Linked DNA regions of Caenorhabditis elegans. The protein of the gene in region 1 purifies or fractionates together with the protein of each later gene. This does not show direct contact. Each region holds a gene or a part of one and is shown in the gene's direction. Other genes may lie near its edges.

Region 1 (5,602 bases):
TCGATTCAATAGACAACAACCATCGATGGCCAAGTCTAACTCGAACAATAGCCACAATGAGGTAAGTAGTTTTTTCTGTCCGGGCATGAAACTTTCTAACAACTTTGAAAATTATAAATATTACAGGCAGATACTCTCTCATCACTTCTCTCTTCAGTTGGTAGTTCTTATGATGGAGAATCTGATTCTACATTCGTGTCAACTGGAACTACTCCATCATCAAGCCGTCGTTCTCGTCTTGATTCGTTCCTTTCAACTACTAGTTCCAGTAAATCAAGACCAAGAATTAAAAGCAAGCTTCCTCGTAGCTCGTCGTCTGGATTCTCGGGAACAGGATCTGAAAGATCTATTTCAAGCAAAAGATCGAAAATTGGAAACACTTCTGGGAACCGTAACAAGATTTCGCAAAGTGCTAGAAGAAGACTTTTGCAAGCTGAAATTGAGAGTCGACGCAATAGATCCAACAAATCACCAGGTTCCAGTCGTAAAAGCATTCTGAAGAAATCTCCGATGAAAAAAAGAAGATCTCTTTCGAGAAAATCTTTACCAAAGAAGGAGCATATTCCTCCAGTTCAAAAGTTTGCAATTATCAAGAATCCAGCTGCTCGTAATCAAGGTGAGCCCTGAGATTGTTTTGAAAGTTCACATAATTGATCATATTTCAGTTCGTGGATTTGTTGCTGAATACGCACAAGATCCAGAATTTGAAGCTTTTGAGCTTTTGGTTGACGGAATTCCATTTGTTGCTCTCTCTCTGATGAATGCTCATCCAGATCTTCGTGGAAGATTCAAACCTGTTCCACCACCAACACCGATGAAGAAGCATACTCCAGGTAGTTTTATCTTGAATCACCTTTAACTCATTTACTCATTTCAAGGTATCAATAGCCCACGAAAACGTCCTTTGCGTCGTGAATCTATTTCTTCCGTTAACTCGAAAAGTGTTCGTTTCACTGATGAGGGATCTTCTTTTTCGAAAAGAGCTAGAAAATCTTCATCCGGAGATGTCGATTCATCGATTCGTGAGCTTGGAGAGACAGTATCGGATGCCATGAGTACGATTTTTGAGTCATTGTAATAAAAAACTATTTTTTTTTGCAGTTGACACTGGTCGCCAGTACAATGATTTGTGGAAGGATCGTGCACATAGTGTTGAAAAATGATTGATCTCTGTAATGATATCACCTGATTGATTTTCTAGAGAATAAAATGATGATTTGAATATGTTTAAGTAATTTGAGATTAATTCTTTATTTGGTCCCATTGGCCGTTGACGTTCTAAAAAATCGATTCCTTTCGCCCTGAAGACGCTTTTAAAAATATGAACGATAGAACCGCTAGAGCTAGTTGATAATTTTAAAACTAAGTTTTCAAATTTAGAGAGGTAACAGCTTATAATTTTAATTTTTTTAAAACAAATAACAATGAATTACAGCAAGTAGGAAATGTCCGAAATTATTTCAATGGTGTGAACAGTTTTTCAAAACATCTGAAGATTTTGTACACTTTTAATAGTTCAGTAAAATTGGGAAATCAACTCAAAACTTTGATTGATAGTTAGAACAATTTTCAAATTTCAAACTGTTTTGTTTAACCATTTAAACATTTTTACTACATCTAAAGTTTATACTGACAAACTCCCCCTGACGCCCACTCTTCGCCTCGACCGTGTAGAATTTCTATTGTAGCTACGATAGGTTCTTAACCATCAATTTTTATGAATCATTAAAAAAAAAAATAAATCTCCACGAATCTCTGGAGTATAGTTCGACCCATACGATCAGTGCAAACTCTTTGAGCATTCACCTGAAGCTGCATCTAACGTGTTTTCTGCCATTGATAACCAGGGCATTTCAATGTACGACAATATAGTTAGCTGCTGATAATAAAGAATTCGTCTGATAAGCCACGTAAACCATATAGACAGCATATTTACATGCTTTCTGACTCTGTTTTAAATCGATTTTTGATAATTTCAATTGGTTTATATGTTTCTTTTTTTTTTTCAGAAAATGGGTTTTCGGATACGGATAAATAAACTAGATGTATTCTTAGTTGTTATTGCAATTGTGTTTATTGTGTTTGGAATTGTTACTTGGGCGGCATTCTCTTCAATTTACAGTACTCTGGTCATAAAGGTATTCCCGTGAAAAGTGAAGTTAATTCCTAAACTTGCATGATATCAGAACCTACAACTAACTGAAAATTCTGATACCAGTCTAGGATATTCTGCATTTCAATATACAAGTCCTCAAGTGGATAATATAATGAAATTCTACTTTTTTAATGTTACAAATCCAGACGAAGTGAAATACTATTCTGCTGCACCAAATTTGGTAGAAATTGGTCCATTTTCTGTAATGTAAGTTGAATTTTCCTCATAGATATGTTAATTAAATTCCGAATTTGAAGGGAAAGTGAGCAGAAAAAATATCTGGAATTCAGTGATGATAAATCACAAATGTTTTATCAAAATTACAAAAAGTATATTTTATCAAAAGATTATTCGTGTGAAGATTGTGACTGGGACAGAAATATTGTTTTTCCGAATCCACCAGGATTGGTGAGTTTTGATAGATTAGCGGGCGAGTGCACGTGGCGCCTCAACTTGATTTCATGTCTGTTTTCAGGGGGCTGTTGCTTCAATGTTAGATCCACAATTCCAAATCACAAAAACGGGAAGAACAATTATTGCAGTGGCTTTAACAATTCTTGGTGAATATCCATTTGTGTAAGTTTTTCACCGAATTTAACTTATTTTAAAATAAGTTTGCAGTTCTCATAAAGTTCGTGAAGTTCTGTTTGACGGTTACGAGGATGCTTTACTGTCCGCTGCTCATTCAGGGGTAACTTTTTAACTTAAAAAAAGTAGCTGTAAATCTAATTTTTAGTTCGTGACAGTTTTATCAGGAATATTCAAAGGAGATGGTGGAAGTATCGTTCCAATTCCGATTCCAGCTATGCCGAAATTTGGATATTTTCAAGGGGTTTGTAGATTCTTTTGAAAGCTAATTTCTGATCGGGAACTATATTTCGAATTGAGAATATATCTTCAGTATAACAACTCAAGAGATGAGGAATATTGGATTGAAACGGGAAAGAAAGATATAAACCAAATAGGAAATGTTCAGCGATGGGCTGGAATTACAGAACTTCCTGGGGAATGGTGGACTACTCCAAAGGCTAGAAGTATTCGTGGAAGTGGTGAGTTGACCATTATCTCGCATTGAATTGAATTGAATTTATTGAACTTTAATGCAATTTATTTTAAACACATTCAAAAGGAAAGTATTTTAAGATTCTGGAAGTTTCACTCAAATGCACTTGGACGAGTCATCAACTGCTGATATGTTCTTTTCATTCATGTGCCGATCATTCACAAAAACCTTTTACCAGAGGGAAACGATTGAGTCAATTCCAACAATTGGGTGTGTTAGTTGTCACAAAACAAATAAATAATCCTCTTTTCACAGTTATCATATTGGGTACGACGAATGGGACACCACATCTGATAACAATGTGGGCTTCCGTTATCGAAATATTGAAAAGAGAAACTATTTTCCTGACTGGCCAAAATGTCCACCGTAAGTTTTTTTTCGAATAATTTTTACTCTCTTAATTTGCAGCAAAAATTTTGGAGTTTTTCTGAAAAAAAAGCTGATAAGTTTTTGTCTGAAATTTGATTTAAGATTTCCTGAAAGATTGAGATTTTTTCTGAACGAATAGTATTACCGGTACAGAGAGTGTAGATAGTTAGAGAGTGACAGACATCCGGGACCCAATGGGGCGGGGATCGATCGAAATGATTGATTGAAAATATGATTTAATTCAACAATACATAATAGTGAAAAAGAGAAACTTCAATTATAAATTTTTGATTTTCAGAAAAGGTCAATGTCATCAATCAGGCTCTATTGATTGTTCAAAGTCAATTAATTTCTGTCATGCATGTTGTGATGGTTCCCTATATAATGGAACATACCTTCTACCACCTGGAATGTTTCCACTTGTATGCTATCCAGGAAGACTTCAACCAACACCATTTGCCGTTGTTTATTCTCCTCCTCATTTCCTGTTCTCTCCAGATGAAGTACGGACTACTGTAGTTGGAATGGCTCCCAATAAAAGCCTACATGAGCCAATGATTTATTACCATGAACCTGTGAGTTCAGTTTAAATTGGACATTGAAGTTTGGAAATAATTGTTTTTTAGTATAGTGGAACAACATTAAAAGTTGTAAATCGTCTTCAAGTGAATATGCCAGTCATTCGATCTCATGATGTTCCGTAAGTTAAATACAATTCAATTTTAAAAAATTCAAACTATTTTCAGAAGTAGTCAAAATATGCCAAATGTTATGATTCCACTGTTCTGGCAGGATACATCACCGAAATATCACCAATTCATTTTTAATGAAGTATGGCTCGGATTTGTATTAGTGCCTCGATTGATGAGGGTTCTACAATTTGTGGCTCTTGGAATTGGCCTTCTTCTGGTGGCGATTATAGTTTTTCTTCAATTAAGAAAAGGAAAACCGTCTTTGATTAGACCTTTGAAAACAAGTTTCTTAGAAACGACAAGTAATTGGTTATCTTCGACATCTTCTTCCAATTCAAATGAAAGTAGAGGATTAAGGAGAATGTGATTTTATTTGTTTTTCAATGTACTTTTGCAATAAAATAAATTTTAATGTGTTCTAAAAATTGTTGATAAAAGTTGAAGCTTGTTAAACTTTACTGATAGTTATGATAATGTAGTTATTGTTGTACGGGAACTTTGTAGATCTTTGCATTTGCGTAAACAGCAATTGATTTGCTATTAGGGTCATACTGTACATTGCAAATTGGCTGAGAAAGTCCTTCCCATTCTGTAGTTCTTCCTTGAATATATGTGTGACTATAAAAGTCATAGACAGGTGTCACAGTTCCATCACACTCTACAGAGTATAAAATTGCACATCTGACGAACGCATTACACATTGTTGAAGTGTCAATTGAAGGAAGTGTCCAATTAGAAACTATCTGAAATAACAATGTTTTGCTTTTTGAGAGAAGCGCATTTATGCGGATGGCTTTCGCCGAGAAACTTTTTTTTAAACTGATGTTGTGCTCTAATCATACAGAAGTAAAACTGTGAATTTAAAAAAAAATTATTCTTTGCACTGCAGATATTCTCTTCATTTAACTCCGAGGAAAATGTAAAACGTTTTTTCAAAGACTACAGCATGATGTACAGGAGATGTAATACGCGAAACAATAGAGAACGCAGAGAATAACGTACTTGCATGGTGTGGAAGTTTATTCGACTGACTGTAAGAACCGTCTCGTCCTGTCTTCTGTAGAGCACCCATATTCCATGTTCTTCTGCCTGTACGTCAAGCCGAGATGTAGAATTTGCGTAGAGAGGTTTCTAAACATTTGAAATTAAGAATACCCATAGCGATTATGGTCAGTACCAAAGAAGTTCTCAAAGGTATATAGTTCGATTTTTCAGTTTTCAAATTGTATGAAATCAATCGATCGTTCTCGCTGTAGTACATTGTGTTGTTGTAGACCATATTATCGGTTCCTGAAAATATAGTTTGAGACGTTTTTGGAATGG
Region 2 (3,555 bases), on another chromosome or scaffold:
TAAAAGATTCTGATGGACACGTCTTCAAGGTGGTTAAACTTGTTTCAATGCCATTTTGAGGCAATAAGTTTCCAAGATGTTGTTGAAGTTCAGTGACTTGTCTCATCGTGTAAAAATGACTTTCTGTGGTGACTGGTTTCCATAGATCATCCAGTTTTTTCATTTCAGAAGCATGCTTAGTCAACGTTCTAACGCCACTCAACGGAAACGACGGCTTGAGTAGCCTCTCCAGCCACTGATCTTTAGAATCACTAGTGAGCATTCCAATATCCGAAATTCCGTTTGCAAATCCTGCAGTGACATTCCGAATTATCTGCGAATAGGGGGACCCAACCACTTCTTTCATCACAAAAATATTCAATTTGTCGGCATAAAGTGATATGTTATTTACAGCTTCAGCGTTTTCTGTGAATTTAGGTTTTGGCGGCGGGTACCACAACGCACCTGCGCCTAGATACAATTCCATAATATCTGCGAACGGTTTAATCGGCTTCCATTTTTCAAGTAACTCAATAATAGGTTTCATTGTGTTTAGAAACGCAAGTTTCTTGACAGAGGAAGATAAGTCGGCTAGCTGTTTCTTAACATCAGAAACTGTCGAACTTTCTGAAACCATCATATCCAATGTGCTCTTCAAATCAAATGATTTCAATCCAGATATATCCCAGGACCCAATAGTTAACAGAGAATGTAACGTATCATTTGCCGGTATATTGCTTAAGCTTCCAATATTTTTCCATGCCATCTTCACTTCGGACATATCAAGTATTGCCTGCTCAACTTTCAATGTATCCGGATGTGAGTCAATTACAGCGCTCCCTAAGCTTTCCATGAACTTATCTACAGACGTCTTGTTGAACTTCTCCAGTTGTTGAAGACTGGCAGTGTCAATGTTCAGGAGTTCCGCAATGACTGGATCGGCGGGGATGGAGCCATCGGAGAATCCATTGATTATTGCAATGGCTGTGATGAGACGAGCAACAGCAGGTAGTTTTTTGAACAGAGTTGCGGGGTCTTCATCTGGAAAGTTAATTGTTCTTTAGGGTTGATTGGCGGTGTGCGAATAACGCGTCCTAAGGCACAATGGGGCTTTGCGATCGTGGACCAGACACGATGCGTGTATCAAGAAAATAACTCATAATTCCCACATTGCGAGCAGGGATGGGCGGCTGATCGGAACAAATGTAAACTTTGCCGGCTAAATTCGCCGAATTCGCCGAAAATTAGCCGAAAATTCTGTCGAAAATTGGCTGAATTCGCCGAATTCGCTAAATTTGGCGAAAAGGTCGGTTTGCCGCCCATCCCTTGTCGCAATTTCCGATCGTTTGCTAGCAAGCGTACCACAAGAGCGCAACTTTCCAGCCCGACTCCCGCCGCCGTCGGGCTGGTTCTATTGAGAAATTTTTTGGTTGAAAATTTCCTAACCGGCCAAAATTGGGATTGTTCGGTAGAGCGCGTTTGCACTCATCTAGCTGCTGTACCACCGTGCCGCTCACACACCATCGCATTTTTCTCTTGCACACAAGCTATAGTGCGCGCGACCCGGGAAACGTCAGCCGCAGTACTCATAATGTGATGTGGCGGGCGCGCGGAGTGTGCGGCAGAGGTGAGTCGCAATGTCAATGTTGCGCGGTTCCTGTGATGGGCAGATGCGCTCAAACAAAACAAAAAACGTTTTAAACTCACTATTGTGTGAGCTTACAGCTCTCGCAAACTGACGACGACTTGAATGATCCAGCGATTCGACGTTGTTTACATTAAAATTATCTGAAATTGAATTATTTTCGCAATGAACAACACTGAGTGACTTACCACATTCCACGAAAGTTGTGACAATTCCGAAAATCGCAATCTTCAGCAGAATTATCATGCTGATAATTGATTTTATTCTCATACCAGCGATGACCGTTTGAAGAGAACGTAATAATTTGATCGATTTTTGGACAAAACAACAAAAAAAACAAGTTAATGTCATCATTTATAGGGTTATGTGGAAGTTCACGTGGAAATTTAATTTTGGAATCAAATTGAAATTGTTTAAAAAAACAAACAAATACGTGTTTTTTGACGTTTTTTGTTAGATTATAAAAGTCCCATTAGATAAAAATTCAAAGTCATCCTTTTTCAATTCTCACTTGTATGCAGTAATTGATGGGACATGTTTTCGTTTACAACTATTTTCAAGAGCGTATGTCTTTTTTTTTAATTTTCAGGAAATTTTTATTAAATATATCAGCACTTAACTGAAAAATTCCAGATTTCCCTCTATTTCGGACCATTTTTTTTGCTGATCGTCTCGATTGCCCAGTGTCAGTCAAAAAAGAAGTTTAGAGACGATGAAAGAGTGAGTTTCTTGGACCAAAGAAAACCTAATAAAATGGCTTGTTGCAGGCCGATCTAGTCCCCCAAAATGCGCCAGTTTGCCCAAACCCTATTAAGAAATCGTCCACGCAGACTTGCCCGACTGCACAGTAAGTTTTAAAATTGCGCGATTCACTAGAAAATGTATTTTTAGGACCCCGCCGGCAAAAACTCCAATTGAAAGGAGCAGACATGAAGCTGAAGACACTCTTGCGTATGTTTGTAGAATTGGCCACTGATATTGATTAAAATTTTCAGAAATGTGAAATCGTTGCCACCAGAGGAGTCGGACGATGCTGATGAGCCAAAAATGGCAAAGAAAAAGTAATTGAACTTGTTTTTATGTAAATGAAGCAGCAGTGGTAGAAGATTTTCTGTTAAAGTGTTCTAGGCTACTGTAGCCCCACAAATACGCAAAGTCCAGATATTACGACAAAATGCAAAATTATTAAGAACTTGGATTGCTGTAGGTCCGGAAGAACGCAAACCGCAAGAAATGCACCAGGGCTGGGCCGGCAACCAAGTTGCCGGTTGCCGAAAAAAAACGACCACACTTTTTTCCAGATCGCCCAAAAATATAATTTCAACAAAAAAACTTAGAAACCTGGTTGCCGGTTGCCGAAAAGTTGCCGGTTACCGAAAATCTCGGTTGCCGCACAGCCCTTCTATTCACCAGATCTAAGGACAAAATGGGCAGTTATTCGAAATTGGCCAAAGAAATGTAAAATTTGAAAAAATTCGTTTTTCGATTGTCCACTTTTCTAAATAAAAAAATCGATGAAAATCAAAAATCAAGTAACCATTCCGGCAACTTGGTTGGTTGACAGTTTTTGATCGGACTAACTACTGCAAAGTTATCCCCGCGTGAACCATCACTGGTAGCAAAAAGATCTCAACCAGGGGTGTGCGGCAAATGGAAAAAATTGCCGAGCTCGGCAAATCGGCAATTGCTGGTTTTTCAAAATTTGCCGAGCTCGGCAAATTCGGCAAATCTCTTTTTTCAATATTTGCAGAGCACGGCAAATTCGGCAAATTCGGCAAATTTGCCGTGCTTGACAAACTCGGAAAAATTTGATATTTTTTATGTTTTTTGGAGCACCAAAACTACTGAATTCTTAACACACATCTGGTTTCTGAATAACTTCCGCGTAGTATGTCTGTTTAAGCATCAAAATAGCTCAATTTTGTGTCGTT

The links. Proteins that work in one complex are often made in the same cells at the same time.
Region 2: the proteins of scav-6 (region 1) and Y57G7A.3 fractionate together in Caenorhabditis elegans (co-fractionation; one large-scale study listed by BioGRID). This does not show direct contact.

The regions. Positions count from the first base shown.
Region 1 is NC_003279.8:7,352,482-7,358,083, forward strand, and holds scav-6 (SCAVenger receptor (CD36 family) related), read left to right. Parts: upstream 1-2,009; 5' UTR 2,010-2,012; coding exon 2,013-2,138; intron 2,139-2,186; coding exon 2,187-2,362; intron 2,363-2,412; coding exon 2,413-2,563; intron 2,564-2,630; coding exon 2,631-2,731; intron 2,732-2,776; coding exon 2,777-2,846; intron 2,847-2,891; coding exon 2,892-2,987; intron 2,988-3,056; coding exon 3,057-3,204; intron 3,205-3,298; coding exon 3,299-3,428; intron 3,429-3,473; coding exon 3,474-3,584; intron 3,585-3,885; coding exon 3,886-4,162; intron 4,163-4,213; coding exon 4,214-4,287; intron 4,288-4,333; coding exon 4,334-4,646; 3' UTR 4,647-4,694; downstream 4,695-5,602. Other genes in the region: spsp-1 (uncharacterized protein), read left to right, coding at 26-61, 127-616, 666-833, 879-1,055, 1,102-1,163; F07A5.4 (Olfactomedin-like domain-containing protein), read right to left, coding at 4,759-5,022, 5,282-5,410, 5,457-5,569.
Region 2 is NC_003280.10:1,283,645-1,287,199, forward strand, and holds Y57G7A.3 (uncharacterized protein), read left to right. Parts: upstream 1-2,137; 5' UTR 2,138-2,158; coding exon 2,159-2,188; intron 2,189-2,257; coding exon 2,258-2,344; intron 2,345-2,391; coding exon 2,392-2,471; intron 2,472-2,515; coding exon 2,516-2,575; intron 2,576-2,619; coding exon 2,620-2,689; 3' UTR 2,690-2,729; downstream 2,730-3,555. Other genes in the region: Y57G7A.6 (uncharacterized protein), read right to left, coding at 1-1,020, 1,687-1,767, 1,813-1,894.